Linked DNA regions of Oryctolagus cuniculus. The protein of the gene in region 5 binds, or shares a complex with, the protein of the main gene of each other region. Links are inferred from orthologs where the notes say so. Each region holds a gene or a part of one and is shown on either strand. Other genes may lie near its edges. The genes, in order: SF3B2, SF3B4, SF3B5, SF3A2, SF3A1, DDX46 and HTATSF1.

The links.
Region 1: SF3A1 (region 5) and SF3B2 share a complex: the UniProt entries of both Homo sapiens proteins name them as parts of the 17S U2 SnRNP complex. The link is inferred for Oryctolagus cuniculus from reciprocal best matches to the Homo sapiens genes SF3A1 and SF3B2.
Region 2: SF3A1 (region 5) and SF3B4 share a complex: the UniProt entries of both Homo sapiens proteins name them as parts of the 17S U2 SnRNP complex. The link is inferred for Oryctolagus cuniculus from reciprocal best matches to the Homo sapiens genes SF3A1 and SF3B4.
Region 3: SF3A1 (region 5) and SF3B5 share a complex: the UniProt entries of both Homo sapiens proteins name them as parts of the 17S U2 SnRNP complex. The link is inferred for Oryctolagus cuniculus from reciprocal best matches to the Homo sapiens genes SF3A1 and SF3B5.
Region 4: SF3A1 (region 5) and SF3A2 share a complex: the UniProt entries of both Homo sapiens proteins name them as parts of the SF3A subcomplex of the 17S U2 SnRNP complex. The link is inferred for Oryctolagus cuniculus from reciprocal best matches to the Homo sapiens genes SF3A1 and SF3A2.
Region 6: SF3A1 (region 5) and DDX46 share a complex: the UniProt entries of both Homo sapiens proteins name them as parts of the 17S U2 SnRNP complex. The link is inferred for Oryctolagus cuniculus from reciprocal best matches to the Homo sapiens genes SF3A1 and DDX46.
Region 7: SF3A1 (region 5) and HTATSF1 share a complex: the UniProt entries of both Homo sapiens proteins name them as parts of the 17S U2 SnRNP complex. The link is inferred for Oryctolagus cuniculus from reciprocal best matches to the Homo sapiens genes SF3A1 and HTATSF1.

What each region holds. Positions count from the first base shown.
Region 1 is NC_091432.1:5,759,525-5,763,587, reverse strand, and holds part of SF3B2 (splicing factor 3B subunit 2), read left to right. Parts: intron 1-297; coding exon 298-394; intron 395-604; coding exon 605-696; intron 697-1,087; coding exon 1,088-1,303; intron 1,304-1,411; coding exon 1,412-1,549; intron 1,550-1,690; coding exon 1,691-1,771; intron 1,772-1,913; coding exon 1,914-2,141; intron 2,142-2,573; coding exon 2,574-2,723; intron 2,724-3,761; coding exon 3,762-3,851; intron 3,852-3,942; coding exon 3,943-4,050; intron 4,051-4,063. UniProt on the Homo sapiens protein: Component of the 17S U2 SnRNP complex of the spliceosome, a large ribonucleoprotein complex that removes introns from transcribed pre-mRNAs.
Region 2 is NC_091438.1:48,025,556-48,030,320, reverse strand, and holds the start of SF3B4 (splicing factor 3B subunit 4), read right to left. Parts: upstream 3,115-4,765; 5' UTR 3,026-3,114; coding exon 2,992-3,025; intron 2,556-2,991; coding exon 2,427-2,555; intron 1,851-2,426; coding exon 1,308-1,850; intron 991-1,307; coding exon 784-990; intron 1-783. UniProt on the Homo sapiens protein: Component of the 17S U2 SnRNP complex of the spliceosome, a large ribonucleoprotein complex that removes introns from transcribed pre-mRNAs.
Region 3 is NC_091436.1:24,439,653-24,442,725, reverse strand, and holds SF3B5 (splicing factor 3B subunit 5), read right to left. Parts: upstream 1,796-3,073; 5' UTR 1,652-1,795; coding exon 1,391-1,651; 3' UTR 1,064-1,390; downstream 1-1,063. UniProt on the Homo sapiens protein: Component of the 17S U2 SnRNP complex of the spliceosome, a large ribonucleoprotein complex that removes introns from transcribed pre-mRNAs.
Region 4 is NC_091447.1:59,110,265-59,114,790, reverse strand, and holds the start of SF3A2 (splicing factor 3A subunit 2), read right to left. Parts: upstream 3,214-4,526; 5' UTR 3,058-3,213; intron 2,434-3,057; exon of another isoform or gene 2,327-2,433; intron 2,036-2,326; 5' UTR 2,002-2,035; coding exon 1,876-2,001; intron 1,769-1,875; coding exon 1,697-1,768; intron 1,307-1,696; coding exon 1,260-1,306; intron 1,075-1,259; coding exon 965-1,074; intron 699-964; coding exon 649-698; intron 539-648; coding exon 398-538; intron 280-397; coding exon 211-279; intron 143-210; coding exon 1-142. Other genes in the region: PLEKHJ1 (pleckstrin homology domain-containing family J member 1), read left to right, coding at 3,544-3,637, 3,716-3,783, 3,873-3,939, 4,013-4,103, 4,234-4,297, 4,386-4,502. UniProt on the Homo sapiens protein: Component of the 17S U2 SnRNP complex of the spliceosome, a large ribonucleoprotein complex that removes introns from transcribed pre-mRNAs.
Region 5 is NC_091452.1:23,643,322-23,646,450, forward strand, and holds the end of SF3A1 (splicing factor 3A subunit 1), read right to left. Parts: coding exon 3,041-3,129; intron 2,125-3,040; coding exon 2,023-2,124; intron 1,910-2,022; coding exon 1,838-1,909; intron 1,147-1,837; coding exon 1,045-1,146; 3' UTR 690-1,044; downstream 1-689. UniProt on the Homo sapiens protein: Component of the 17S U2 SnRNP complex of the spliceosome, a large ribonucleoprotein complex that removes introns from transcribed pre-mRNAs.
Region 6 is NC_091437.1:22,983,130-22,987,192, forward strand, and holds part of DDX46 (probable ATP-dependent RNA helicase DDX46), read left to right. Parts: intron 1-122; coding exon 123-308; intron 309-1,614; coding exon 1,615-1,758; intron 1,759-4,063. UniProt on the Homo sapiens protein: Component of the 17S U2 SnRNP complex of the spliceosome, a large ribonucleoprotein complex that removes introns from transcribed pre-mRNAs.
Region 7 is NC_091453.1:114,292,943-114,297,662, forward strand, and holds the start of HTATSF1 (17S U2 SnRNP complex component HTATSF1), read left to right. Parts: upstream 1-1,716; 5' UTR 1,717-1,850; intron 1,851-2,099; 5' UTR 2,100-2,108; coding exon 2,109-2,294; intron 2,295-3,970; coding exon 3,971-4,151; intron 4,152-4,720. UniProt on the Homo sapiens protein: Component of the 17S U2 SnRNP complex of the spliceosome, a large ribonucleoprotein complex that removes introns from transcribed pre-mRNAs.

The DNA.
Region 1 (4,063 bases), on a different chromosome or scaffold from region 5:
TGAGACGCATGGTCTCTCTCGGGACAGGAGAGTGGGGGCTGGGGGGGCTGTTTCTAGAGTTTCCGAGGGGGATTCTGTGGGAAGAGGGGGACTTCAGTTGTTGGGGGAGGGAGAGGTCCTGTTCAGAGCATTGTGGGGGAGGGCAGAGGCGTCGGGGGCGGGTCCGGGGCGGAGTTCTGGGGTTTCCTCTGAGTGCAGCCCGTGTCGCCCGTCTACTGCCCACGTCACCTGGCGGCAGCCTTTCACTCAGGAGGTGGGCGTTGGAGGGCAAGGGCCCTCACTGGGTGTCTCCGGCAGATGGAGGACCCCTCTGTGGGCCCCAAGATCCCCCAGGCTCTGGAGAAGATCCTGCAACTGAAGGAGAGCCGGCAGGAGGAGATGAGCGCGCAGCAGGGTGGGTGCCGGGCCTTGCGGGGCGCAGCAGGGTGGGTGCCGGGCCTGGCGGGGCGCAGCAGGGTGGGTGTCGGGCCTGGCGCGGCGCAGTGGCGGGGCCTGGCCAGCGCGACCCGTCCTCCCTCCCTGCCCCTGGGGGGCTTGGTGCACGCCTGCACTTGGTAAAGAGGTGACTGAGCAGGGCCCTGATCGCCACCCTCCCCCCTTGCAGAGGAAGAGGAGATGGAAACAGACACTCGCTCGTCCCTGGGCCATTCGGCCTCCGAGACCGAGGAGGATGCAGTGTCCACATCCAAGAAGGAGGTACGGGGCGGAGCTGGCCTAGAAGCCGGGTGTGGGCACCGGAGCAGCCCCCGGCGCGGTGTCCAGTGAGGGCTGGCCACTGTTGTGGGTTCTGTCCTGAGCCTCTCCCGGGTCTTGTTCCATCGCCTTGCGTCTCTTGGGTTCCTCGTGTCTGCTCACTGTGCTTCACGGCTAGGGGAGCTGTGCCTCGAGGGTACAGGAGCGTCGCAGGGGCACGCAGCCTGAGCGTGGAGGGCTCTGGAGTCACTCTCCCGGCCTCTGCACCACGTGCCTGGGGTCGCCCCCTGGGAGAAGCCAGCCTGAGCTGCTGGGGGAACGGTGGGGGTCAGGGCTTGGGGGTCAGACATGGTGATTGGTTTTCTCACCTGGTGGCTTTTCCTCACCGTGATAGAAAAACCGGAAGCGCCGGAACCGGAAGAAGAAGAAAAAGCCGCAGCGCGTGCGGGGGGCGCCCTCGGAGAGCTCTGGGGAGCGCGAGAAGGACTCAGGCCGGCCGCGCGGCTCGGACGCCCCGGCCGCTGACGTGGAGATCGAGTACGTGACCGAAGAGCCCGAGATTTATGAGCCCAACTTCATCTTCTTCAAGAGGATTTTTGAGGCTTTCAAGGTAGCGGGAGCGGCGCAGCCGGAGGGGCTGGGCGGGTGAGACCGGGCTGGGAGGTCTGGCCGGGGCGTGGGCCCCGCACTGGCCGTTGGCGTCCTCTGCCCCCCCCAGCTCACCGATGACGTGAAGAAGGAGAAGGAGAAGGAGCCCGAGAAGCTGGACAAGCTGGAGAACGCCGCCGCCCCCAAGAAGAAGGGCTTCGAGGAGGAGCACAAGGACAGCGACGACGACAGCAGCGACGACGAGCAGGTCGGGGCCTGGCCGGAGACGGCGCGCGGGGCCCATGGGCTGACCTCTGCCCGGGCTCTGGGAGCGCAAGTCTTGGGGTGGGCTGGGCCCTTAGATTCCGTCCGAGGGCCTTGCTCACGCGTGATGACTGTTCCGTGGCAGGAGAAGAAGCCAGAAGCGCCCAAGCTGTCCAAGAAGAAGCTGCGTCGCATGAATCGCTTCACCGTGGCTGAGCTCAAGCAGGTGAGGCCGGGAGAGCGTGGGAGGAGGCCCAGGAGGGCGCGCGGGAGGCCCGGAGACGTGGGTGTGGGTCCTCCACGGAGGAGGAGGGAGAGCCTCGGACCCGAGAGCTGCGCCCCCAGAGGGCCTCGTGTGCGTTTTGCAGCTGGTGGCCCGGCCCGACGTCGTGGAGATGCACGATGTGACGGCGCAGGACCCGAAGCTCCTGGTGCACCTGAAGGCCACTCGGAACTCGGTGCCGGTGCCGCGACACTGGTGCTTCAAGCGCAAGTACCTGCAAGGCAAGCGCGGCATCGAGAAGCCCCCCTTTGAGCTGCCGGACTTCATCAAGCGCACAGGCATCCAGGAGATGCGGGAGGCCCTGCAGGAGAAGGTGAGGGCCTTCTCCAGAACTGGAATCCAGACCCCGCCCGCGGCCGAGGGTCCCTCCTCCAGCATAGGAGTCAGCACTGCACAGCGCGGGCGGGCGGCGGAGGGGAGGGAACGGGCCAGGCAGCTCCTCGCTTCCTCCCCGGGTCCTCACCAGCGTGCGCTTTGCGGCCGCACAGTCCTAGTGCGAGGGGGTGACTTCTGGCAGGGACAGCCAGCACGTGGCTGTGGTGTGGAGGCCCGTGCAGTGCTCGGCGGGCCTGCCTCCTGATGAGCTCCGTTCCGCTTCTCTCGAGCCAAGTCGTGAGCCTGGGTTCTTGGTCACGGGGCCCAGAGCTCAGGCGGCCTCGTGTGCAGCTTACCCCATGGTGGGGTTGAATAGAGAGGGTTTGCTGACTTTCAGATGAGACAGAGGGCGTCCTCTGCTTTCTCATAGGAAGAACAGAAAACCATGAAGTCAAAGATGCGGGAGAAGGTTCGGCCCAAGATGGGCAAGATTGACATTGACTACCAGAAGCTGCACGACGCCTTCTTCAAGTGGCAGACGAAGCCGAAGCTGACCATCCATGGGGACCTGTACTATGAGGTTGGGGGGCTGGTGGCAGGGCTGGGCCTTGGAGTCATGACTGCGTAACCTTCCGGTAGAAGGTGTTAGCCCTGGGTCGGTGGTGCCACAGTCTTAGTCTCAGATGAGACGGAATCTGAAAGTTATTTTTATGTATTTTTTACAGATTTATGTTACTTACTTGAAAGAGAGTTACAGAGATGGGGAGAAACAGAGAGAGGGATCACTCTTCTCTCTGCTGGTCCACTCTCCTAATGACCTCAACACCCAAGGCTGGGCCAGGCAAAGCCAGGAGCGAGGAGCTTCTGGGTCTCCCATGTGGGTGCAGGGGCCCAAGCACTTGGGCCATCTTCTTCTGTTTTTCCCAGGCCATTAGAGAGGGCTGGATTGGAAGTGGAGCAGTCGGGTCTCGACCTGGCGCCCATATGAAATGCTGGCACTGCAGGCGGTGGCCTTACCTGTTGTGCCGCAGCACCTGTCCCGTGACTTGCACTGCTATGGAATGCTGGCATCACAGACAGCAGCTTAACCCACTCTGCCACAAGCCTGGCCCACAGCCTAGCCCTGGACTTTGAACTTTTAAAATCAGGTCATTTGGTGGGAAAATGCAGACCATGTCTTTGGAGTGGTTATAGTTAGAGTGGTGTGTTGGCGTAGGGACAGAGGGGCCAAGTGGTGGGTGATTTTCAGGAATACTTAATGTCAGAAGTGTGAGAAAAGTTTTCTTCTTTTCTGGCCTTGAAGTAGCGATCCACAGTATGGGGGTTTTGAAGGCTTTTGGGCTCATCCTGTTTAAGGCCCTCAGATGGGTGAGGAAGGTGCAGGCTGGCCACGTTGTCACCGTGGTCAGGGAGGCCCTGAGCGTCTGGCCTTGTGCTTGTTTCTTGCCCTTGCTGGGGAGCGATGTGATGAGAGTCAGGGTGGGAGCGGGCAGCGGTCCGGCGGCCTGGGATTCTGTGTCTGACGTGGTTGGGGCTTCTCTGCTCTCCTGGCCTCTCCTGCCATGGAGCTCAGTGCGTGCGTGTGTCCCCGCAATAGCAGCCTTTGCTTGATTCCCAGGGGAAGGAGTTCGAGACGCGACTGAAGGAGAAGAAGCCTGGTGACCTGTCGGACGAGCTCAGGATTTCCCTGGGGATGCCTGTGGGACCAGTGGGTGTCGGTCGGCTGGGGGGCGGGGCGGGGCGGGGGCGGCAGAGCAGCGCAGGGTAGGCAGACGCTCCCCTGTTCTCTCATGCTGCAGAACGCCCACAAGGTCCCGCCCCCGTGGCTGATCGCCATGCAGCGGTACGGACCACCCCCATCGTACCCCAACCTGAAAATCCCCGGGCTGAACTCGCCCATCCCCGAGGTGAGTGTCGTCC
Region 2 (4,765 bases), on a different chromosome or scaffold from region 5:
ATTCACAGAGAGAAAAGAGGCAGAGAAAGAGAAAGGTCTTCCATCTGATGGTTCACTCCTCAATAGGCTGCAATGGCCAGAGCTGTGCCGATCCGAAGCCAGGAGCCAGGAGCCTCCTCCGGGTCTCCCACGCGGGTACAAGAGCCCAAGGACTTGGGCCATCTTCCACTGCTTTCCCAGGCCATAGCAGAGAGCTGTATTGGAAGAGGAGCAGCCGGGACTAGAACCAGCACCTATATGGGATGCCGGAGCTTCAGGCCAGGGTGTTAACCTGCTGTGCCACAGCGCTGGCCCCTACACGTATTTTTTTAAAAAGAGAAAGGTCTGAAGGGGAGAGGTACAAAAGTGGATCTGTCCACTGAGCAACAGGATTATGGATTTAGATTGTTAATAATCATGAACTAGAGATACAGACTAGGAGACATCAGTGTATACTTAATCTAGACCCAGAGAAAAATCAGTTTATCAAATTGACTGAAACTGAGGTGTCAGGTGGAGAATCCAAAAAACAGATGAAAAAAACAGACAAGAATTTCAAACAGGAGTACACAGCTAGTTTCAAATACAGCAGAGGGCAAACCATCTAAGAAGTCGAAGTATCCCCTAGACCACTGCTCTGGGGTTGAGTCAGAGAGAAGGGAAACAACAGGGAACAAACAAACAGCAAGTATAGGCTACTCTGCAGAAAGACTTACACAACAGGACAGGTGGTAAGTAGTAAACTAAAGAGAGCATTTTGTTCGTTCACGCACATCCCTCCCTTTCCCAGCCAAGAACACCTACCTGGATGGGGCATGCCACCTGGTGGGAAGGGGTGAGGATGTGAGTGTCCATGACCAGGATGTCCAGCCCCCGGGGTGCCTGCTGATGGAGGGCCATGTCCTCCAGCCCCAGGAGGCATTGGTGGGGGGGGCATGGCTGGAGGTATTCCAGGTGGGAGGGCTCCAGGAGGCGGCACTGGGGGTGGGAAAGAGCCAGGAGGAGGCATGCCTATATAGAAATCAGAAGAAGGATTAATGGCGGTGGGCAAAGAATGCCTTTAAAGAACCTGTCCCAGTTTGACCTGTCTATGCAGGGTGAGTTCTTGCCCCCTCCTCCCAGTGCTCTAAGGTCACAAGCCATGTTGCACTACTCAAATAATCCTACCTCCCTGGAGAAGCCCGACAGAGTTCTTCACACCCCTCCCACCCACCACCTCCTAACTCCCTTCTCATCACCCACTGACTCAGGAGATCTTCCCTTTCCAGGTTCTTTGTTCTCCTCACTGCAGCCCCAAGACAAACGTATTTGCGAACCAAAAGCTTTACCTGGTGGAGGAAGCCCAGACCCCAGTGATGATACCACAGGGTTGGGAGCAGAGGGTGGAGGGGGTGCATCTGCAAACAGCTGATGTGGGCGATCAGCCTGGGAGAGTGGGTTCTGGGCTGCCAGAAGTCGTTCAGCTGCGGAGCCATGGCGCTCACCCTTGGAGTCCTTCTTGAAGGCATAAGACACGGTGATGGGGCGGTTACAGAGGTACTGCCCATTCATGGCCTCAATTGCTGCATCCGAGGCATCAAATGAAGCAAAATTAATAAAGGCATAACCTTTGGAGTTGCCTGTGTCAGGGTCCCGCATGATCTTGGGGGTTTGTAAGATGACCCCAAAGGCGCTAAAAGTATCGTAAAGCAGCTTCTCGTCAATCTCCGGGTCCAGGTTCCCGATGAAAATGTTGGCCCCGACATCCAGGTTTTTGTTGTGAGCTGATGCCTTGTTCACTCGTATTGGCTTCCCATAGAGTTTGATCATGTTCATGATCTTAATGGCATAGTCAGCATCTTCTTCACTCAAGAATTCCACAAAGCCATAGCCTAAGCAGGCAGAGAGGAGATTAGCAACTAGAGCGAAGATACCCGAAACTGGGTAAAACTCACCCACCCTCCAATCACAAAGAACAAGAAAATGATTTTAGAAACAAACTGTGAACTGAGGATTAAGAGAAAGCAATCTGGGGCCGGTGCTGAGGCACAGTGGGTTGGGCATCTGCCTGCAGCACCAGCATCCCATATGGGCGCCAGCTCAAGTCCCAGCTACCCTACTTCTGATCCAGCTCCCTGCTGATGGCCTGGGAAAGCAGGAGAAGATGGCCCAAGTCTCTGGGTCTCTGCACCAGGGTGGGAGACCTGAAGAAGCTCCTGGCTTCAGACTGGCCCAGCTCCGGCCAGTGCGGCCATTTGGGGAGTGAATCAGTGGATGGAAGGCCTCTCTCTGTCTCTCCCTCTCTCTGTCTGTAACTCTGCCTCCCAAGTAAATAGATAAATCTTTAAAAAAGAGAAAAGAAGAGGAAGCAATCTTCTGGTCGCTCATTCTGAAACAAGTATAAATACCGCTGGGACCCTCAGGAGCAGCTGTCAGATACATAAAGTGGCCTCTTGGCGCGGACTCACCTTGGTGCTGGCCAGTGACTCTGTCCTTCGGCATGTGAGTGTTGACCACCGGTCCTGCCTGCAGGAAGAGCTCCCACAGCAGAGGTTCGCTAACCTTCTCGTCCAGGCCCCCCACGTACACAGTAGCATCTGGAGGGAGGATGCAGGAATTTAGGATGGGGACGAATATGACAGGAAAGGAGCTGACCGGGACATAAAGATGGAACCCAGTTAGAGGAACTGCAGGCGGGGATGTGGGACAGAAGCGAAAAGGGGGAGGTGGAAAGCATCCAAATAAGCCCTAAATCGTCCTCTTCGCAGGACCTAGAGCCCCTTCTGAAGTTCACTTTAGTGTCTGCTGCAAATTCCGTCCCACTCAGAAAAGGCAGCAGGGGGACTGCACGAAACATCACACGTCCAGGCCTCAGCCTGCACCCGGCCAACCCGCCCGCACCAGCCACGGAAGCGAGTCTCGCGCCCTCCGGGGGACGGGGGTCCAGTTTCCCGCCTTGGAGACGCTACTGGCCTTAGCTGGGGCTTCCCACCCTCCCGGGCCCATTCCGGACTCGTCTCCCCGCCCAGTCACCCTGGTTCCGCTCGGAGATCGGCCCGGCAGCCATGGCGAAAAGAATCCCGCCGCCTCCAAGCAGCGGCTCCGCCCTCTGGCCGCGGTCACTACTTCCACTTCCGGGGCGAAGACTTACGTGACGCTGGGCGGGGCCCGGACGGGGGCGGGGCCGGAAGCGGCTGCGGCCATCTTAGGATCCCGCGGGACTTGACGGTGCTGTGGCGTCCCGGTTCAGAGGCGTTTGGATTTGCGCCGAGGTTCCGGGGCGAGCGGTCGTAGCGAGGAGGGCGGGGCAGGAAAGCGCAGGCCCTCTGAAAGCAGTGCCAGACGTCTCCCACCGGTGCGGGCGTTTGGCACAGCGGTTAAGCCACAGCATCCTCAGTCAAGAATTACAGGGTCCGAGCCCCGGTTTCCCCCGACTCGAGCTTCCTGTAAATGCACACCTTGGGAGGCAGCAGAAACCCCAAGTTTGGTCCCTGCCACCCATGTCGGAGACCTGGATTGTTCCCCGCTCCCGGTCTGCGTCTGGCATGGCCCCGACTGTTAGAGGCATTTGGGGGAGTGAACCAGCGGATGGAAGTTGTCTGTTCCTCTCTTTCAAGCTAAAAATAGTAACTCTTCGTGTATTTTGTAGCCAGCTGATCCTTTTGTCACCCAAAGGAAAAGGTTCTCAGGGACCCCTCAACCTAAGGACTCTGCTCCACAAGCGTCTTAGTTTTGGCCTCATGCCTCTGGCTGGCTCGAGGTAATGTCTGAGCCGGAGTGTGAGCAGAATCTGAGGCTCCCCGGATGGAGTGTGACCAAAGCTGCAACTCCAAGAGCACTTTCTGGCCCCAGCAACGTCATAATATGCTCTTGGCTGTCTGCCTCTAAATGGGAGATGAGAATTCTGAGCCTCACGTGGTCCAAATCCATTCCTTTCTTAGAAATCATACGATGGGGACCTTTTCTCAAGTCTTTGCTATCTAGGATCCTTCATTCAAATCCAAGAATCAGTGCCAGCAATGTGTATAAATATTGTGCTTTAATGAACTTAAATAGAAATGCCACTACAAAAATGTACAGTTGGAAGAGAGGGTGTGTTTCATATCCACTTTGTTTCCAAAAGAAACTATACAGGAAGAAACAGAAATTGGAATTAAAATAGGCAGCAAGAAGGGGCAAGAATGAGGTCTTTAGGCCATACTGTTGGAACTGGTGAACAGCGTCTCTGGTGTCACAACTTAAATAGCTGGCTATCTATAAAGCAATTACATTGTGGATTGTTTTGTTTCTTAATTCTTCAACTCCCAGGAAACAACAGCTTCAGGAACCAAATAAAAGGACAAGAATTAAAGATTAGCACCACCGTCCACAACAAACTCAATTCTAAGTGAGTTTGCTTAAGAGCTGGAGTGTGAAAGCTGAGGCAACAAGGCCATATACAAAACACTGCAGTATTAGGACTCTCCCTCAACCCAGATCCCCCGCTGCTCTTTGAGAATGCCAGCAATTTCAGCAGGAATGAGAGAGAATGGTACTTGGATCTCTTTTCTTGGAGTGATCACCAGGAAACGCTCTTGGTGTCCACTTCCTTAATAGTTCCTGAAGATGGGATAGTTCATCCTGGAGGCCAGAGACTGTGAGAGCTGAGAGGCCCATCTGGGAAGGGTGCCAATAGGGACAGAGAGAAACGTCATTGCAGCTCTAGACCCCTGCTTCTAAGATCTGCCCGCTACTTGTGGTGCCTAATTGTCTTTCCCCTCCCAACTCTGCCCTAAATTCCATTTAATGTAAGCTTCTAGCAGTTTCC
Region 3 (3,073 bases), on a different chromosome or scaffold from region 5:
AGAACAACTTGCTTGCCAGCTTGTCATTTCTGAAGAACAGTCAGAAATTCCCAAGGGATGCGGTTTAAAATGAAAGAAAAAGGTAGAATAATAAAAAAAACCTCAAACCTGAAGGCACTATGGATCTGAAAATTTTTTTTCAGGTAAATCTGAGTTCTGAACACAAGGAGGCTTCACAAAGTTGATGGAAAAATGGAATTAGAAGTCGAACTTTCTAGGGGCTTTTAAAATTTCATTTATTTTGCCGGCGCCGCGGCTCACTAGGCTAATCCTCTGCCTAGCGGCACCGGCACACTGGGTTCTAGTCCCGGTCGGGGCGCCGGATTCTGTCCCGGTTGCCCCTCTTCCAAGCCAGCCCTCTGCTGTGGCCAGGGAGTGCAGTGGAGGATGGCCCAGGTGCTTGGGCCCTGCACCCCATGGGAGACCAGGAAAAGCACCTGGCTCCTGGCTCCTGCCATCGGATCAGTGCGGTGCGCCGGCCGCAGCGCACCGGCCGCGGCGGCCATTGGAGGGTGAACCAACGGCAAAGGAAGACCTTTCTCTCTGTCTCTCTCTCTCACTGTCCACTCTGCCTGTCAAAAATAAAAAAATTAAAAAAAATAATAAAATTTCATTTATTTTAAAGTTAGAAATACAGAGTCGGAGAAAGAGAATCTTCCATCTGCTGGTTCACTCCCCAGATGGCAGCAATGGCCAGGGCTGGGTTAGACTGAAACCTGGAGCTTCTTTCGGGTCTCCCACATGGGTGCCTGTGGCCCAAGCACTTGGGCTACCCTTCTCTGCTTTCCCAGGAGCATTAGCAAGAAGTTGGATCAGAAGTGCAGGGGCCAGGCCTCCAACCAGCTGCCCATATAGGATGCTGGCACTGCAGGCGGAGGCTTAACCTTCCAGGGGCTTTCTGAAGCTCCCCAAAGGGCATGCTGGGCGGATTTCAGTGCCTGGCAAGGCAGGCTGGTTCTGTGCCCTCCACCCACCCTCTCCTACTTGCACACGCACAGAACCTTTGGTTCCGAGTCCTCCCCAGCCTTCTCCCCTGGAACACAAACAGATCACACCAAGAGACTTAACAGATTCTAAACTTTATGAAAAAGGCAACGCGACAATCAACTAAGTCAAACACGAGCCTCCAAATCCCCTCACTCCAGTGCCGTCTTCCCCAACGCCCGCCAGCTCTCGGACCTCTTCACCCGCAGTTCTCAGGGAGCCCCGGCGGTCCTGGTGCTGCGTCCCGAGGGATCCACGTGAAGACAGCACCGGCGGGACACCTCGGCGAGCACTTCTGCACCCGGAAGGCCGGAGAAGCAAGGAGTCGCGGAAGAACCAGTCCACTGGAGACAGGAACGCGCGGGCAACGCCGGCGATCGGGAGGCTCGCTGGAGGAGGCGCCGTCTCAGTTTTCCTCGGGCTTGTCAGCGGGGGGGCCGCAAGGCTGCAGCATCTTCTCCATCAAGTTGAAGCGCACTCGCGCTTTGCTCTCATTCTCCGCGATGGCGAAGTAGTTGAGAAGGTCGAAGTGGCCCATGTAGGAGCAGTAGGAGTCGCGGTGCTGGTTCACCAGCCACTCCCACTTGGTGGTGTCGGCGTGGCCCGTGCCGATGTACTTGGACTGCAGGTGCTCCAGCTGGCTGTGGATGGTGTAGCGGTCTGTCATCTTGCCGCTTTCCCTTTCGCTCCGAAGTCAGAAGTCGCACGAGGGTTAGGAACCGGTCTCGGGTTTCCCGCCGGAGAAAGGCCAGCACACGGAACCGGCAGCCTCGCTCAGTCGCAGAGAAATTGCGTCACAGCGACGGAGTGGCGGAGGACGCGGAAGCGGAAGCACATTTTGAAGCCGTATTGGAGTTGCCCTAGCGACACTGAAACTGTCCCGCCCCTTTAACAGAGTCCCGCCCCCCGCCCTCGGAGAGCGTTGCATGATGGTCCACTTGGTGGTCCGTGGGTGGCCCTGTACTGACGTAGCGTCTTGCATGCTGGGATTTGTGGTCTCTTCCGAGACCGCGGTTTAAGAGCTGAATGGAGGGCAGAACCCCAGAGGCGGGGAGCATGCGTTGTCGGCCCGGTGCTAAGAGAAAGTGGGCCAGTGGGCCAGTGGCACAGGCAACCAAGAAAATAAACCCTTGGTGTAATTAGGCGCTGACGAGGCGGCACGGTAGCCCCTTCACAATCGGGTGGCTTACTGAGGTCGGCAGACGCGACCTCTGGTCCCACGCTCTAGCGGGGCCGCCGTTCCCGTTCGGTGACCCTGCACAGCCCCGGGGCCGAGTCGCTTGGGCGCCCCCGGCGCACACTCCTTCGGTCTCGCCTCTCGGGCTGGTGGCCCCCGGCGACTCCACGCCGACCCCCACGACCCCGGCCCGCACTCGGCCAGGTGCCGCGCGCGCCCGCGTCCCCTTCGGAGCCGTTAGCGCCCGCGGGAAAGGCTTTGTTCCCGCGGCGACGCGTCTGCCTTCGGTTGGCTCCTCCTTTGCATCTGATTTTCGCTTTATGTTTTACCTTTTGGTTTAAAATTCACGGCGGTAGAAATACTTGAGGAAAAAACAAACCCATACTTATCTTAGGATATCCTTTTTGGATATTCGTACAGCCTGATAGATTGTGTTCTCCAAAAAACAGTTGAGGGATAGAGAGACAACTACAGCCAAAGAGAGGAACGCTGCCCGGAGAGCAAGAACTTTAAAAAGCAGTTTTGTTTTGCTCTTTTCAGCTTGACAATTCATTCCTAAAGTGTGGAAAATTTATAAGGTATATCTTTGGCTTCATCCTCTAGGTGTATCAAACCTTGACATTTTGCCGTATTTGTCCTGATTTTGTTTTGATTTTTAAGAGATAAATTCTGCAAATAAACGTTCTCCGCGTTCCCTTCCCTCATCTCTTGGACACTGTCCTGGATTTAATGTCAATCATTCTGTTTTCCAATTGCTGAAAGTTTGTGTATCCATAAACAATAGCTGATAGGCATGGTTTAAACCTATGAGTAGCATATATAATGCTGTAAAAGTTGCTTTTACTCTTGTCAGTATCCTCATTGATATATGAAACTTTAATTCTTTTATACTGTTCAATATTAGCCACTGGA
Region 4 (4,526 bases), on a different chromosome or scaffold from region 5:
GGGGCAGAGACTCCGGCAGGGGTGGCCGCGGGGGCAGACCGTTCATCAGCGGGGGCGGGGGCCGCTTCACCCCCGGGGGCCCGGCAGGCAGGCTGGGCGGGGCCGGGGGCTTCTCCATCTTGAAGTGGAACTGCAGGAAGAACTGTGGGGGGGTGGGCTCAGCGGGGCTGCCCCGGGTGGGGGAGGGGGCCGGGTGGGGGCGGGGCTCACCTGCTTGGTCTCCCTGTTCCAGTGGGTCCAGAACTTGCCCTCGGCCTTGTCGATCTCCCTGCTGGGCACCTGGGGGGGGGGGGCGGCCGTGGGTCCTGGGGTGGGGAGGGGGCGCGGGGCTGGTGCCGAGACCCAGGGCGGGGCGGGGAGGGGGCGCCGTGGGTCCGAGGGAGGCGGGGGGCCCTACCTTGAAGGCGATGGTCTCGTAGGGCTCGGCGGCCATCAGCAGGTACTGCCAGCGCCGGTCCGGGGGCTCGATCCTCTGCTCGTAGGCCGACATGAAGCGGTGCCGGGGGGTGATGCCCTCGGCGATCTCGGGGTAGTCGATCTGCGGGCGGGCAGTGTCAGGGGCCCCCAGCCCCCACTGCCCCCCGCCCCCGCAGCCCCCACCCGGCCCCGCCCCCGCGGCCCCCCCCCCGACCCCGCGGCCCCGCCCACCTGGAAGAGCAGGCTCTGCTGGCCCATCTCCGTGTCCCGCTGCTTGGTCACTGCAACACCAGGGCCGGTGAGGGGCCCCCCCGCAGCCCCACGTCCCGCCCAGGGCGGCAGGTGAGGCCCAGGTCCCAGCTCAGAGGGCCGGCCCAGGGCTGCACGCCACAGCCCCGCCTGCCCCTCCGTGCCCAGGACCCCGCCTGCCCACAGCCCCACGGCCTCGCCTGTCCCCGCCTGCCCCTCCCTGCCCAGGGCCTCGCCTGTCCCCGCCTGCCCCCCCCCCCCCGCCCAGGGCTGGTGTCGGGCGGCCCCGCCCCCTCACCTTTGTAGCCAGGGCGTCCGATCTTCACGAACTTCTTCACCTCCACCTTGACCTTCTCGGGCGCGGGCTGGGCGGGCGCCTCCTTGGCCTCCTTGGCTGCGCGCCGGGCCCTGGGGCGGGGCAGACGGGCGCTGTGGTCCTCCACACCAGGCCAAGGCCACGGGCGCAGGTGCAGGAGCCCCCCTGCCCGGCCTTGGGCTCCCGCGGGGGGGGTGAGGGGCGGGGCCCTGCGGCTGGGGGGCGGGTCAAGGGGCCCTCCCCCGTGTCACAGCCGGGGGGCGCGGGGGGCACTCACAAGTTGGTCTGATGCTTCTTCCCTTGAGTGTGTGCGAGGTAGCTGCCCTGCGTGGAGGAGGCGGGACATGAGGCCGGGGGCGGGGCCAGGCCGGTGGGCGGGGTAGCGGCAGGCGGGGTGGGGGAGGACCAGGCCGAACAGTGGACAGGGCGGGAGGGGGGGACCAAGCCGGCCGGGGGGTGGGGCAGCGGCAGGCGGGGGTCAGGCCGGGGGCGGGGGGATCAGGCCGGCTGGGGGCGGGGCCAGGCCGGTGGCAGGCAGGAGCGGGGGACCAGGCCGGCCAGTGGACAGGGCGGGAAGGGGGGGGATCAGGCCGGCCGGTGGAGGGGGGGGGCCAGGCCGGCCGGTGGGCGGGGCGGGGGCGAGGGGTTCAGGCCGGCCGGTGGGCGGGGCGGGGGCAGGCAGGGGCGGGGGCAGGGTACCAGGCCGGCCAGTACCTCGTTGTTGTGCAGGGTCAGGCACAGCTTGCACTCGTAGGAGCCCAGGTGGTTCTTCATGAAGTAGGGGTCCTGGGGGAGAGCGGCGCGGGGCGTCAGGGGCGTCAGGGGCGTCGGGGGCGTCGGGCGCGTCGGGGGCGTCGGGGGCGCCCCGCGGGGGGGCGGGCGGGCGGCCCTACCTTGTTGATGTCGATGGTCTCCAGGGCCAGCTGCCGCAGGCGCTCGCGGCGGTCCCGGTTGCTCTCGGAGGAGGAGGCCACGCCCCCACTCCCGGTCTTGCCGCCGGGGCGGTGCTGGAAGTCCATGGTGCCGGCCTGCGGACCTCAGCGCCGGAGAAGCCTGCGGAGCCCAGACCGGGGGGGGCCCTCAGGACGCGGCGGGGGCCGGAGACCCCAGGAGGCAGCCCCCAGCCCCTCCCGGGCGCACCCACGCGGGCTCTCCCGTGTCAGCCGCCGGGCCCAGCCGCGGGCGTCGGGGAGAACGGGGGCGCGGACGACCGCCTGGCGCCCCCCCGCCGTCCACTCCCCAATGCCCCTAAGCCAGGGCTGGGCCTCCCCGTGGACGGCAGGGGCCGCTCGGGCCCCATTCGGGCACTGGCCCGAGTCCTGGCTGCCGGCCCGGGCCCCGCACCTGCTCTGACCCGGCCCGGCCCGGCCCGGCCTCCGGGGACTGGACCGGCGGGAGGAGACCCCGCCCCTGCGACCCCGACTTCCGGGCACGGCGCGGGCGGCCCGGCTGACCCCAGGGCGCTACCGGGCCCGCCCGCGGTCCACGCACGAGCCGCCCCCGGCTGACCCCAGGGCGACCCGGGCCCGCCCGCGGTCCACGCACGAGCCCTGGCGGCCCCACAGCCCCTCCATCGGGACGCGAACCCAGGACCTCAGGGCTGGGGGAGGGGGAACCACGCGAAGGGACAGTCGGACAGCGGACCGAGGGGAAGACGCGGCCCCGGGCACGCAGGCTTGCGGGAGGGAAATCTAAGACGCAGCCGCATCGCCGTCCGCACCCGGGACGCCCCGCAGCCCCCCGGGCGCCCGCGACCGACCCCCACGACGACAAAGGCGCCAGCGGGGGCGGCCTCGGGGGTCCCGGCGGCTTTTGGCGGGAACGCCGGCACGCACCCCCGCGCGCGGCCCCGCGGCCCGGGCCCGCCCCGCCGAGCAGCCGAAGGCCCGCGGCCGCTCCCCGGACCCCGGAGCCCGCCCCGGACGGACGCGAGACCCCCGCGACCCCCGCGACGCCCGCCGCGGAGTTCCGGAGGGCCGGGGTCGCCGTGGGGCCCGCCGCCCGCCCCGGCCCCTCCCTCCCGCGCCCCCAGCCCACCCTGGGCGCCCCGGGGCCCCGATGGCCCCCGCGCCTACTTCGTGTGGGTCGCGCCCCGCGTCGCAGGCCTCCGCCGTCCGCCTCAGGAGCCGCCGCCACGACGTCGCAGTGCGCACGCGCGGCGCGGGCGCTCGCAGCACTTCCGGAGGGAGGACGGGCCCTCGAGTGTGCGCATGCGCGTGCCCGAGGCGCGCCTGCGCACAACGCGCTCCGCGCGCGCACCCGCGTCGGCTCTTGGGGGCGGGGGCGGGAACCGGTAACGCCCCGTCCGCCCGCGCTCGGCGGTCCTTCGATCCTGCTTGCGCCTCAGACCCACTTTATTCCGCGGCTGTGTCGCGGCTGCCCGGCGTGTACCCACGCCCCAGCACGCCGCGGTCGCAGCGCGCAAGACTCGCCCGTGGCGCGCAGGCGCAATGGCGCTTCCGGGGCTCCGACCTGGGATCTTTCTGGCGCGAGCGGGGACGGCGGCCGAGAGGGCTCAGAGCTAGCAGCGCGCGTTCCCGGTCCCGGGCAGCGCCGGCGCCATGCGCTACAACGAGAAGGAGCTGCAGGCGCTGTCCCGGCAGCCGGCCGAGATGGCGGCTGAGCTGGGCATGCGGGGCCCCAAGAAGGGCAGCGGTGAGCGGGCGCGGGCGCGGGCGGGGGCGCGGGGGCGCGGGGGCGCGCGGCCGCCCTGAGCCCGCTGTGTGCCCGCAGTGCTGAAGCGGCGCCTGGTGAAGCTGGTGGTGAACTTCCTCTTCTACTTCCGCACGGACGAGGCCGAGGTGGGCGCGGGGCGCGGGGCGCGGGGGCGGGGCGCGGCGCGGGGCGCGCGGGCGCGGGGCGGCCCCGCTCACGGCGCGTGTGCCCGCAGCCCGTCGGAGCCCTCTTGCTGGAGCGCTGCCGGGTCGCCCAGGAGGAGGCGCGGAGCTTCTCCATCGGTGAGTGCGCGGGCCGGGCGGGGCGGCGCGGGCGCGGGGCGGGCGCGGGCACCCACAGCGGCCGCTCCCGCAGGCTTCCTGGAGGACCCGGAGAGGAAGTACGTGTTCGAGTGCGGCAGCGAGGAGCAGTGCCGGCAGTGGACGGAGGCGCTGCGCAGGGCCAGGTGGGGCCGGGGCGGCGGGGGCGGCGGGGGCGGCGGGCGCGGCGGGCGCGGCGGGCGCGACGGGGGCGGCGGGCGCGGCGGGCGCGGCGGGGGCGGCGGCCTGACCCCGCGGGCACGGCCTCTCCCGCAGCTACGAGGTCATGCGGAGGAGCCTCATCTTCTACCGGAATGAGATCCAGAAGATGACGGGCAAGGTGCGGGGGGCGCGTGCGGGGCGGCCGGGCGGGCGGGGCTCCCGGCCCCGGGCCCCGGGTCACCGCGTCTCCCCGCCCGCCGCCCTAGGACCCCCTGGAGCAGTTCGGGATCTCCGCGGAGGCCCGCTTCCAGATCAGCAGCCCGCCCAGCGACGGGCGGCCGGCGGGCACCGGGCCCGGGCCCGGGCTGGACGCGCTGGACTGACCCCGGCCCGGCCGAGCCTGCGTG
Region 5 (3,129 bases):
TTGTGACACCAGCATCGCATATATCAGAGCACCAGTTAAAGTCTCGGCCACTCTGCTTCCAATCCAGCTTCCTGCTAATGAGCCTGGGAAGGCACCAGATGATGACTCAAATTGGGCCCCTGCCAACCATGTGGAAGAACTGGATGGAGTTCCTAGCTCCTGGCTTCAGTCTGGCCCAGACATGGCTGTTGTGGCCATTTTGGGGAGTGAACCAGCCAATGAAAGATTTCTTTCTCTCCCTGTTGCCCTGACTTCTGAATAAATAAATACATTTTAAAGAAATCTCTCCATATCCCTGTGCTCTCACCAGGCAAGGCACTTACCCAGGGTCACAGAATCAGTCAGGTGATGGGTGACCCTGGCCTGCATGTGTCACTGCTCCCCATGGACCAAGAGCCACATCACCATCCTTGTTCTGTGGGCCATGGCATGCCGAAGGCATCCTGTGTGAATCGGTTAAGCACACTGGGCTACACCTTTGTAGGACTCCAGTGTTTTCCAAGGACAACACAATAAAACACTTCTGAAAAGCATAAGGAGATTCTATTACACGAAAGATATGATGGTGGTAAGTTATAAACCCTGGGAATCCTTAGAGCAGAGAGGAGCCACGTGGCGCTGTGCCAAGTTCCCACTGCCTGGAGTGTGCACAGGGCACGCGGGCCAAGAGACAAGTCTCATTACACCGATTTCACAAGAAAGATCCAAGAAGTTTATTAGACCACAGCAAAATACGAAACTCATTAACGACCATAAAAGCCATACTCAATCAGTCAAGTGCCTCTTGGCACAATGCACCTATCCTGTACGCCATCCCTGGATCTCAGCTCCAACTAACGAGTGCCTTCAAATCAAGACCCTAACACAATGGGATCCCAGGGAGTAGCTTCAAAAGTCTTGCTACTATTACTAACATGGGAAGGAGTCCGGGGAATGAAATGCGGCAGGACATTCTGAATGTCCAGAGAGGGCCTGTGTGTCTAGGACTGGAGTGGGGGACAGGAGACACAAAACAGCAGGGACCTGACAGCAGGTTTCTCTCTTCTACTTCTTCCTGCCGCCTCTCTCCTTGAGGGCCAGGTGGATGATGGCGCCATTGGCCATGTTGTAGTAAGCCAGCGAGTTGGAATCCTTGATGAAGATGCCCTGGAAAGAGACAGTGCGCCTTGGCGTGAGGTCCCTGGCCTTGGACACACAACGTGGCCTGTCCATCTGCATGGCACACCTAGCAAACATGAGGGCTTGAGGGAAGGCGGGGGACAAGGGACTGAAGGGCTCTGGCTCTACCCAAAATGCTTTTTCCTTCCTTCCAATCAACTGATGGACGCTCTTCCCCTTTGTCAATGTTTGGCTCAAAGCTCAACTTCCCAAGAAACTGCCCGACCAAGGCCATGGAGACCTTTGGAGATCACCTGAGCAACAGCCTCGCTTTGCAGGAGGAAACTGAAGCCCAAGGCGGGATTTGGTCAAGTCCAAAAGGGTGAACACAGCACGACTATGTGACCCACCAGGAAGCAGGCAAGGCTGGACTACACCACCTGAGGTCGCCCTGGCTGGGATGGCCTCAGCTCTGGGTCCATGACCTAGCACAGCACTCCCGAGGCACACCCCCAGATCCTGTCCCCAGTGCTCGGGGCAGAGGGTTCCCTGGACTCCACACAAGATGGACTGCCGGAGCCTCACACTGGCACGCTCTCCAGCTCTGGCACCCCCGCCAGCACCTTCACTTCTGGGACAACTCAGAGGATCACTGCCCATCTCCCTGTGCATGGGGGACTTAGCTTCTGGCACAGCAGTGTTGGGACCTAAGGGAAGGGACTGGCACGCTCTGACGCACCTCGTACTGCAGTTTCTGTTTCCCTGCAGGCATGCCTGTAGCTTCGTGAATCTTCACTTTGATGACAGAGACCTGTGGGGCCAAGGAGAGGTCATTCGTGCCCTTGCAAAGGCCAGCAGAAGGAAGCTGTCCCTTGAACCCTTGGTCCCCATGCACGTGATACCGCTGGTGGCAGCAACCCCTACCTGGTCTGTGAGAGGCAGGGTGAAGACCAGCACCTGCCCATTCAGCTTCCATTCCGTCTTATCCTGCATGTTGGGCACCTGGACTTTGATGGACACTGGACCCTGCAAAACAGAAGGGGATCATTATGCCTGGGGACCCCTGAGCCAATCAGGAACTATGTTCTGCCATCCTGAGGGCACCTGGCTCTGGCCTGATTCTCTACTGACACACTTGTCATATTGTACAAGTCACACTCCCATATCAAGATGTGCTTTCTGTTTTCAAGTCCTCCTGCGAGTCTAGAGCTGAAATGAAGAGGTTGGGTAAAAATGCTCTGTGACACCCAAGAAGCACAAGTGTAAAAAAAAGTGGCCTGTAAAATCCAGACCTGATTCCCAACTCGGCTCATAAGGTCTCAGCCTGCCTGTACAACAGAGCTGATCAGAGCGACAGCAGAGCCCTGCGGTGAGCCCCACACGGAAAAGTGTCCCAAGGTGAGCTCCACCCTTGCACTTCGCTAAGTGCCCAAAACAGGACTCTCTTAAGAACGAAAACAGAAGATTTGGTCAAACGCACTGAGCCGTCAGGGGCTGCGGCTGTTTCTCGCCTCCTCACTGGAGCCCAGCAGCTTCCCTGGGGTGCAGCAGCACCACGGTTCCCACCTTCCTTTACTCTAGCACCCCAGCAAGGGCGAGGACTGCAGGAAAGGCCACACTGAGTTCATGAACCACACCCGGGCTTGCTTCAGGTGTCCAGGGCCCTCTCACCGAGCTGTGCCCCTGTGCAGTGGCTCTCCCTATGGCCTCCAGAGATGCCACACCAGGGGACCACCAACACTGTCACACTCAGCTCCTCTAGGTGTTAACCCACATTTACTGGGCGTCCCATCAGTCAAAAGCTTCCAGTGGCTAACCCAGACCCTGGAGGCCACCACCACGGGAGTGGAATGAGGTCAGCCGGGCACCATGTGACTAGGGTGAGACTGCAGCCCCTCCCCTAGACACCCCAGGCCACAGGTAGCACCCAGGGGTCACATACCTTGTTCCTGCGCAGGAACTCCTCCTCGGACATGAGACTGTCCTCTGTCTTGAGTTTCTTGGAGGCAGGCTCATCCTCCATGGGAGGTG
Region 6 (4,063 bases), on a different chromosome or scaffold from region 5:
GAAGGTCCTATTGGTGTTTATTTAATTTGTCTTCTAGTATTTTTTTTTAAAAATGTAGAAATGCGATATAATGGAAGCCGACTGTGCTTGCTAGTTTAATCGTTGGCTTACTGCTGTTCTAGCCACTATCGGAAGCGATCGGCATCCCGGGGACGCTCTGGAAGTCGGTCTAGAAGTCGCTCACCTTCAGACAAAAGGAGTAAGAGAGATGACAGACGGTCTAGAAGCAGAGATAGAGATCGAAGGAGGGAGCGGTCTCGGAGCAGGGATAAAAGAAGATCCCGGTCCAGGGACAGGAAGCGTCTGAGGTAAGCGCTGGCGGAGGTGGGGCTTTCTCCGCGGCACTGGGTGTCTCACCACTGTCTCACCGCTGTCTCTGGACGGCACTCGAGTGGCTTGTTTGGCTGCTTCTTGGCAGCCCTGCCTTGCTGGATCAGACTGCAAGATCTGCCTGCAAAGACTCAAGCAGCGTTTTCAGTTTGGCTACTTCAGTTGATATTCCCTGTAACTGAAGGAGAACTTCTGAAGCTCCCAGAGATGTAAGGAATGAAGGAAGAGGGAAAAAGTGCTCTACTCGTGGGGCCTCTGCTCCGGGTCTGCCCGAGAGCTGAGTGTGCGCCCAGCGACTGCCACGGCAGACGGGAGGAGTAGCCAGGGCCTTCTGCAGACCCTCTGCTGTGCTCAGTCGTCTAGCCAGCTGTCTGCAGTCTAACCCAAAACACTCTTGCTTTCAGTTCATGTGTACGTGCTCATGTGCTCTTTTTGCACAGTCGAGTGACCATAAACTTTTCTGGAGGTGGAAAAGAGTCTTTAAGTAAAAATAATTCCCTCCCCCTGCCAGGTACACCGAAATTCTAGTACATTTTCCCATTAAAGTAGTAAAGTAATATAAGGTTGTGCGGTGTACTGTTCACAGAAACAGTTTGCCTTTTTCAGGCGTTGGAAGCAGAGTGCCTTGATACCACAGGCACTCACCCGGGACAGTGTGGGCCTTGCACATGCAGTCTCCTACTCTGTGGCCCCAGCAACAGTTTTACATAGTTCTGTCAAGTACTTGAAGTACTTGTTAGGTAAACTTGGCCATCTAACATCAGTCTTAGACTTTTTGGTCTGAAAGTAGAATCACAAGATTTTAGAGCAACAGTGATTTTAAAATTACCTAGCAAAACCCCCATATTTTCCATCAGGAAACTGGGACTCGGGAGGCTGAAGGTGTGTCCTGTGTTGTCACTGCCACTGTGAGTGGCGGCCTAGACACTCCTGCCTCCTAATCCTCACGTCAGTTATCTGTTCACAGCCTTGGTCACCCAGTTTTCTTACTTGGGTTTGGGTTGTCTTTGAAAATTAGGTTTCTGCTCTAAGATGATGGATGTTAAGTAGCTGTCACTACAGATTTGTTAGGTTTCTCATCACATGTCACTATGAAATTGGTGTACTCATTTTTTTTATTGAGTAGTTGTAAGGGTGGGTTTACTTGTTTCTTCTGATAGTTTATTAATGCCTCTGCTTTTAATAATGGTAGCAGTTTAGACGCTTCTTTTAGCATGGACGAAATCATAATCTGAAATAACATCTCCATTGGACTGTAGAGTGACAAGTGTGTCCTCCTTTTAGACGTTCCAGAAGTAGAGAGAGAGACAGAAGCCGAGAACGAAGAAGATCTCGCAGCAGAGACAGGAGACGTTCAAGGAGTAGAAGCCGGGGCCGACGGTCCCGATCCTCCAGTCCTGGCAATAAAAGCAAGAAGACTGAGAATCGGTAACATTACCACTCACGGTGTCTGCCGTGCAGGGGCAGCTGGCTCCCTTCCCCTGCTTCGTTTTTCTTTCTTTTTTTTTTTTTTTCCCCACCTTTAAATTTATTCTTATAAGCAATTACTGACTGGGCTTCACCAAGATTTGGTGGCATAATTTAATTTAAGTAGGTTATAAAGCTTGTAATTCAGTTGCAAAGTACTAGTCTCAGGTTTGTGGGTTTTTTTGTTTTTTTTGTTTGTTTGTTTGTTTGTTTGTTTTTTTGACAGGCAGAGTTAGAGAGAAAGGTCTTCCTTTTTCCGTTGGTTCACCCCTCAAGTGGCCACTATGGCTGGCACGCTGTGGCCGGCACACTGTGCCGATCTGAAGCCAGGAGCTGGGTGAACCCACGTGGGAGACCCAGAAGAAGCTCCTGGCTCCTGGCTTTGGAGTTCTGGCCAACTGGGGAGTGAACTATTGGTGGAAGACCTCTCTCTCTCTGCCTCTCTCCTCTCTCTGTGTAACTCTGACATTCAAATAAATAAATAAATCTTAAAAAAAAAAAGATCATCCCAAATTACTTTCCTGAGAGTTTGTGCTAATTATACGCCCACCATCAGTATTTGAGACTTCTTCTTTATTTTCAGCAAGTGGGTAAATGTGTGCTGCTTGTGGTTATAATTTGCGTTTCCCTAATTAGTAGTGAGAGTGATTGTTTTTAATGTTTTTCTTGTCATTTGGACTTTGTCATTTCTTAAGTACATGTTCAGCGAATCTTTCCTCATTTTCCTTTTGAGTTGTTTGTTTTCTTTTAAAATTGATAGCAATAGGGCCGGTGTTGTGGTGCAGTGGGTAAGACTGTGAAAGCTGGCATTGGTTAAGTCCTGGTTGGTCCACTTCCATTCCAGCTCCTTGGCTGTGGGAGACATTAGCGCAGTGAACCAGTAGATGAAAGATTCTCTCTCTGTAAATCTGCCTTTCAAAACCAGATAAATAAGTAATTGATCAATTGAGGGAACAGGTGCTGGACTTAGCACCTGAGACACCAGCAGGACTCACTAGTGTACCTGAGTTCTGCTGCCAGTCTGGCTCCTGCCTCTGGCTTCCTGCCAGTCAGACCCTGGGACGCGGTTGTGATGTGTACGAGACCCGCATTGCTTCCGCTCTGGCCGTAGCAGGCATGTGGGAAGTGAACCAGCACAGGAGCATGCTCGCTCGCCCTCCCTCTCATCTCTCTTCCTTTTCTGCCACCCCCCCCCCCTTTTTTTTTTTAAGGATTTACTTCTGTATTTGAGAGGTAGAGTTACAGAAAGAAAGGTCTTCCATCTGCAAGTTCACTTCCCAAATGACCACATTGGCCAGAGGTGGGCCAATCCCAAGTCAGGAGCCAGGAGCTTCTTCCAGGTCTCCCATAGCGGTGCAGGGGTCTAAGACCTTGGCCATCCTCTACTGCTTTCCCAGGCCTTTAGCAGAGAGCTGGATCAGAAGTGGAGCAGCTAGGACTTGAACTGGCATTCGTATGGGATGTTAGCATTGCAAGTGGCAGTCTGACCCACTGTGCCACAGTGCTGCACCCTTCTGCTCCCTCTCTTGATTTCTCTTTCTCTGCCTTTCAGATAAATAAAATTTGGGAGGCAGGTATTGGATGGAGCTATTAAGATTCCTCTTGTGGCACTCACATCCCATTTCACAGTACGATGGATCAAGTCCCACCTCCACTCCTGGTTCTAGCTTCCTGCTTTTGTGCATACAGGGATGCAGTAGGCGATAGCTCAGATAGTTAGAGTCCCTGTCACCCACTTGAGAGTCCTGGATTGAATTCCAGGCTCTTGGCTTTGACCTGGTCCAGTCCCAGCTGTTAAAGGCAATTGGGGAATTAAATAGCTGATAGTACATTTATGTCTTTTTGTCTCTCTAATACAGTCTGTTAGCCTTTTAATTTCTGAAATCCATGGATGGTTTTTTTCTTTCTTTTTTTTAAGATTTATTTATTTATTATTTTACTTGAAAGTCAGAGTTGCACAGAGAGAGGAGAGGCAGAGAGAAAGGGGGCAAACCCCTCCTTGCCTTCCATCTGCTGGTTCCCGCCCCAAATGGCTGCAACAGTTGAAGTTGTGCCAATCCGAAGCCAGGAGCCAGGAGCTTCTTCCAGGCCTCCCACGAGGGTGCTGGGGCCCAAGGACTTGGGTCATGTTCCACTGCTTTCCCAGACCATAGCAGAGAGCTGGATCAGAAGTGGAGCAGCTGGGTCTCGAACTGGCGCCTATATGGGTTGCCGGCACTGCAGACTGCAGTCTTATTCGCTACACCACAGCGCCAGACCCAAGTAA
Region 7 (4,720 bases), on a different chromosome or scaffold from region 5:
TTGGACTAGGGTGGTTGGGTGATATGGAACTTATGCATGCATAAGGAACCTTTTTGGTCACCTGATCAGGAAGGGGCTGTGGATACAGCAAGCACTTAAGGAGTGTCATTTGCAGTAGGCTGGTGTAGCATTATCACCTATGCTGTGGACTCACTCAGGAATGAAACGGGAGCCCAATAACACATTGCTGAAAACAACTGTATACTATTTTTGGATCCAAGAAGATATACTTAGCAATGTTTAAATGAGCCCAATAAAACTCACATTATCTATATTATGAAAATGCCTGCAAGTTCAGTTCTCCAATAGTTCTGACCAGAACAAGAATGTAATGAAACAGAAATGTACTTAAAACAAAAATATAAACAAATACAAACCCAAACTACTATTTCAAAAACTATGGTTATGGTTGAAACATGGATTCACACAGTTGGCATGTGAGGAGCCAGGATTTTCTAGAATTCATACTCAGCTGCTAAGTTTCGAAGCAAATGTCACTGGAATAGTAGAAATAATTTTTTCTGAGGAGCTTTTCTCCATCCTCAATGAACACCTAACGGGCTGTCATTTTTAAATGGACTAATAAATACTCATTAAAATGACTGTTTTGGAAATAATGGTAAATATAAACCATATAAACAAAAACTCTTTGGACTCTTCAGTATTTTGGGGGAGTAAAGCGATCCTGTGATCAGAAAGTTTGAGAACCACTGTCTCTGGCACCCCATACCTCTCCTGTCAGATTTATTAGCCTTCCTGAGCCTGTTTCCCACGAGCTGTGCCCATCTTGTTGACTGTTGAGTCACCAGAGCCTAGTACATTGCCTGACACTTACTAGTTCAATAACTGTTATACCAAGTGACAAATATGGACTTCTTCGTTTTCAGCAAAGCAAGTAATTTGCAGGGAAAAAAAAAAGTTCTGTTTAGAACAAAAGCGTGCTGTATCTTTCTAAAGGAAAGACAAAGTTACTGGGCCAGCACAGGTTGTGTTTACACTGGGATGTTTATGTTTACGTTTCAAGTTTGGGGCTTGAGCACTTCTGAATCCTGGAGGACGAGGCAGGCAGAGTCCAACTCTTCGTCCAGAGGAAGGCATGAGACGATCAAACAGGAGTCTGAGATTAGGCAAAGGTTGATCCTTGTGCTTATCCTTGGTTTGTTCGTTCATTCAGTCACTGCACACTAGACAGCAAATCCTGCAGCAGGTGATTAGGCTACCAAGATGAGCCAGAGCCGGAGCCTATCCCAGGGCAATCAGAAACAAATAAGTAAAAGACATGACACCGAAGCAGGGAAGAGTTTTTGGGCGACGGAGACGCGACGTTTTTGCGTTTTAAGGAAGCGAGAGAAACCTGTCCTGCCGGTCCCACCCACTCCCCCAAGATGGCGCCCACTGCAAGGCAGTATTCCCACACCTTCCTTTGGGGTACCGCCCGGACTAGGTCAGCCAGGCCGAACCTTCCGAAGACCCACGGGGCCTAAGGCCCCCAAGGGACTGCATTGCCCTAAAGGACCTCATCTCGTCCACAGGAAGGGCCTGGTGGTCATCAACGCACGACAGCCGCGCATTCCTTGGCGCCCCGCCCCTCCGGACCCTGCGCCTCAGGCCTTCGTCGGCACCTTTTGACGTCATGGTAGGCGTGTCGGCGCGACACAGGACGTCACACCGCGCCCACAATGGCGACTGCGTCAGCCTGAGGAGGGCTCCGTTTGAAGTCATTTCCTGACGCTGCCGCGAGAATTGCAGTCGTCTCAGACCCGAGCGGCGGTGGCGGCGGCGCGCGTGCGCGCTCTCGCCGCGCCCTGGACCGAGCGGCGGCGCCGCCGAGGCCCGGTGGTTCAAGCCAGGTGGGCGGTGGCGGAGCCGAGCTGAGAGGATCGGCGCGCGCGCGCGCAGTGGGCGGGCGGACAGCCGCGCGGAGCGAGGGGCGGCGCGGCGGCGAGCGGTCCCGACTTCCCGGGGATTGCTGGGGCGCCGTGGGGAGGCGGGCCGGGGGGCCGCGGGGCGGGAGCGGAGCACGGCCGACCTCCTTCTCAGATCCCCTCTCTGGCGTCATTTCGGCCTCTTCGCTCGTCTGAACCCTGCTTCTGGGCTAGGTAGGAAACATGAGCGGCAACAACTTGGGTGGGAACGACGAGTTTGATGAGCAGTTGCGAATGCAAGAATTGTACGGAGACACCAAGGAGGGTGACACCCAGAACGATCCCGGCGGAGAACCCGATTCTTTCGGGCAGCAGGCGGCTGACACCCCGTACGAGTGGGACCTAGACAAGAAGGCTTGGTTCCCCAAGGTAAGCGAGTAGCACTGGCGCCACTGCAGAGCGGGCCGCCTGGCCAGCTTCACAGAGCACTTTTACATTTGCTGTGCTCACTCAGTCAGGTCTGTGGTCCTCACCCCCCTGGATGGTGACGCTTGTTTTTGTTGTGTCTTTTGCAGAGTTGATGTGTAAAGGAACGTAAATCTTTCGAATGGGGTATTAAATGCCTTTTCCGTGCTTTATTTTGTCTGTGAAGGTCACAGTTGGCTATTCTATTGATGACTTTTTTATTGCAAAGAGGAAAAACACACAAAAAATTTTGTAGCTGATCATCTCAGATAGCCGCCCTCGCTTACCTCACTTATCGTAGGAATTCACGTTTAGCATATGTCTTCGTTTACAAAAAGTTGCTGTTTATATACTTGTGCTGAATGAACTTTGTTTGCTCCTTGCTTTCTCTGCCTGCTGCGTTTGTCCTTAGGCATTTATGTTTGAACTTTACATCCACAAGAATACAATGAGGGATGCGCAGAGTATGGTTGGAAAAGATGTGTGCATGTTAGTTTGGAGTACTGAGAAATTGTTAGATATTTTATTTCTGCTTGGAAGTAACATAACTAGTGAAACTTGGTTCTGTAAACTTTGCTGTAGAAGCACTCTGTTATTCTGAGTCTCCTGTGGAGGCCAGAAAGACTACTAATAGCACACCAAGACATGCAAACCAACAAAACACAGCGTGTCTCCATTGTGTGATTAGACTGATCTGTGAAAAAGTCTTCATTTCTACTTTTCTTTCCCATTTTATATTTGTATATATTGAAAGTTCTCCAACTTTTTAAAATTTGCTATTTTACAAAAGTACAGGTAGTGTCAGCTTGAGGCAAATTGGCTTTCTTCAGCCTTCTGAGTACTTTTAACAGTAGTCTGGTAGTGGATTAATTTATCGTTCTACATTTTTGTGTTATTGAGGCCCTTACCTCTTCAAACTTTGAGTTTTAAATTTTCCCCATTCATGTGTGTACTGAATGTTGATTGAATTGGTGTGATGCTATAAGCACTTTTCTAACATTATATAATAGTCCATTTTCCCCCCAAAACTAGTTGGATTTGCCCTGAATTGATTCTGATTCTAAATGGTGATTTCATTAGTGATAGATTTCAAATGATCATTTAGCTTTGTAATTATGAGTCTCATTCTTTGTATGCCACATCACACTTCCATTCTATGTGCTCTTTGAATTCACATATTGAATAATTAAGTGGAAATATATGTGTGCTTCTATACAGTAAAAAAAGTGGATTTTGTGGTTAGCTTATTAGTTGACTGTAGGTTGTTATCCTGTCGTATTGTTACCTGGTATTTCCTTTGTTATATGTATGTGTAGCCTTAGTCAGTAGACTGTGGAGAGGTAGTAATTTATAAATGCATCAACTAGAAAAGGGACCAACATCACTTAAAGTGCTTTATTAGTACCACAGACTTTTGTCTTGATAATTTAAGTATTTGTATCAGGTGACCATTCTTGGATTTACACTTTAATCACTACAACTACAATTATTATTCACGCAGCGTCTTCGATGGTAAGTTATATAGCCAAATAGTCTGTAATATGACACAGTTTGAAGTTTATGGGTGGAAATAACTGAATTTCTGTGCATGTGTTTGTATGTGTATGCACACACGTGCATGAACTAAATTTCTTGTTTAGATCACTGAAGATTTCATTGCTACATATCAGGCCAATTATGGCTTCTCTAATGATGGCGCATCTAGTTCTACGGCAAACATACAAGATGTCAATACTAGGATTGCTGAGGAACCTCCACAAAGAAAAACTCCTGAACCCACTGATCCCAGAAAGAAGGGAGAAAAAAGAAAATCCGAGTCAGGCAAGTAGTTCTAGCTTGCAGAATATGAGTGTAAAAACTTAAAAGTGTGAATGTATACATAGAGTTACTTTTTGGAGATTTATAATAGCTTTGAACAAATGGCAAGATTTTTTTATTTAAATAATGGCAGATTCATAATTACCTGATTTGATTAGTTTATGCTCTATTTGTATATTGAAAAATTTTACTATAGCCCATGAAAATGTTTAAGTAGGGATCGGTATTGTGGTGCAGCAGGTTAAGCTGCCACTGGGAACCCGGCACCCCATATCAGAGTGTCAGTTTAAGTTGTGGCTCCTCAGCTTCTGATTCAGCTTCCTGTATCTGTATTCTGGAGGGGAGCAGATGACGGATCAAGTCCTTGGGCCCCTGCTACCCATGTGGGACACTAGGAGGAATTCTGGACTCCTGTTTTTGGCCTGACCCAGCCCAACCTTGTTTGTGGACATTTCAAGAATGAAACAACAGATGGAAGATATCTCTCTCTGTTTTCCAAGTAGATAAAAATAAATAACACATTTCAAAATGTACAAATATTACGTACTAGTCAAAAATCTAAATAATAAGCA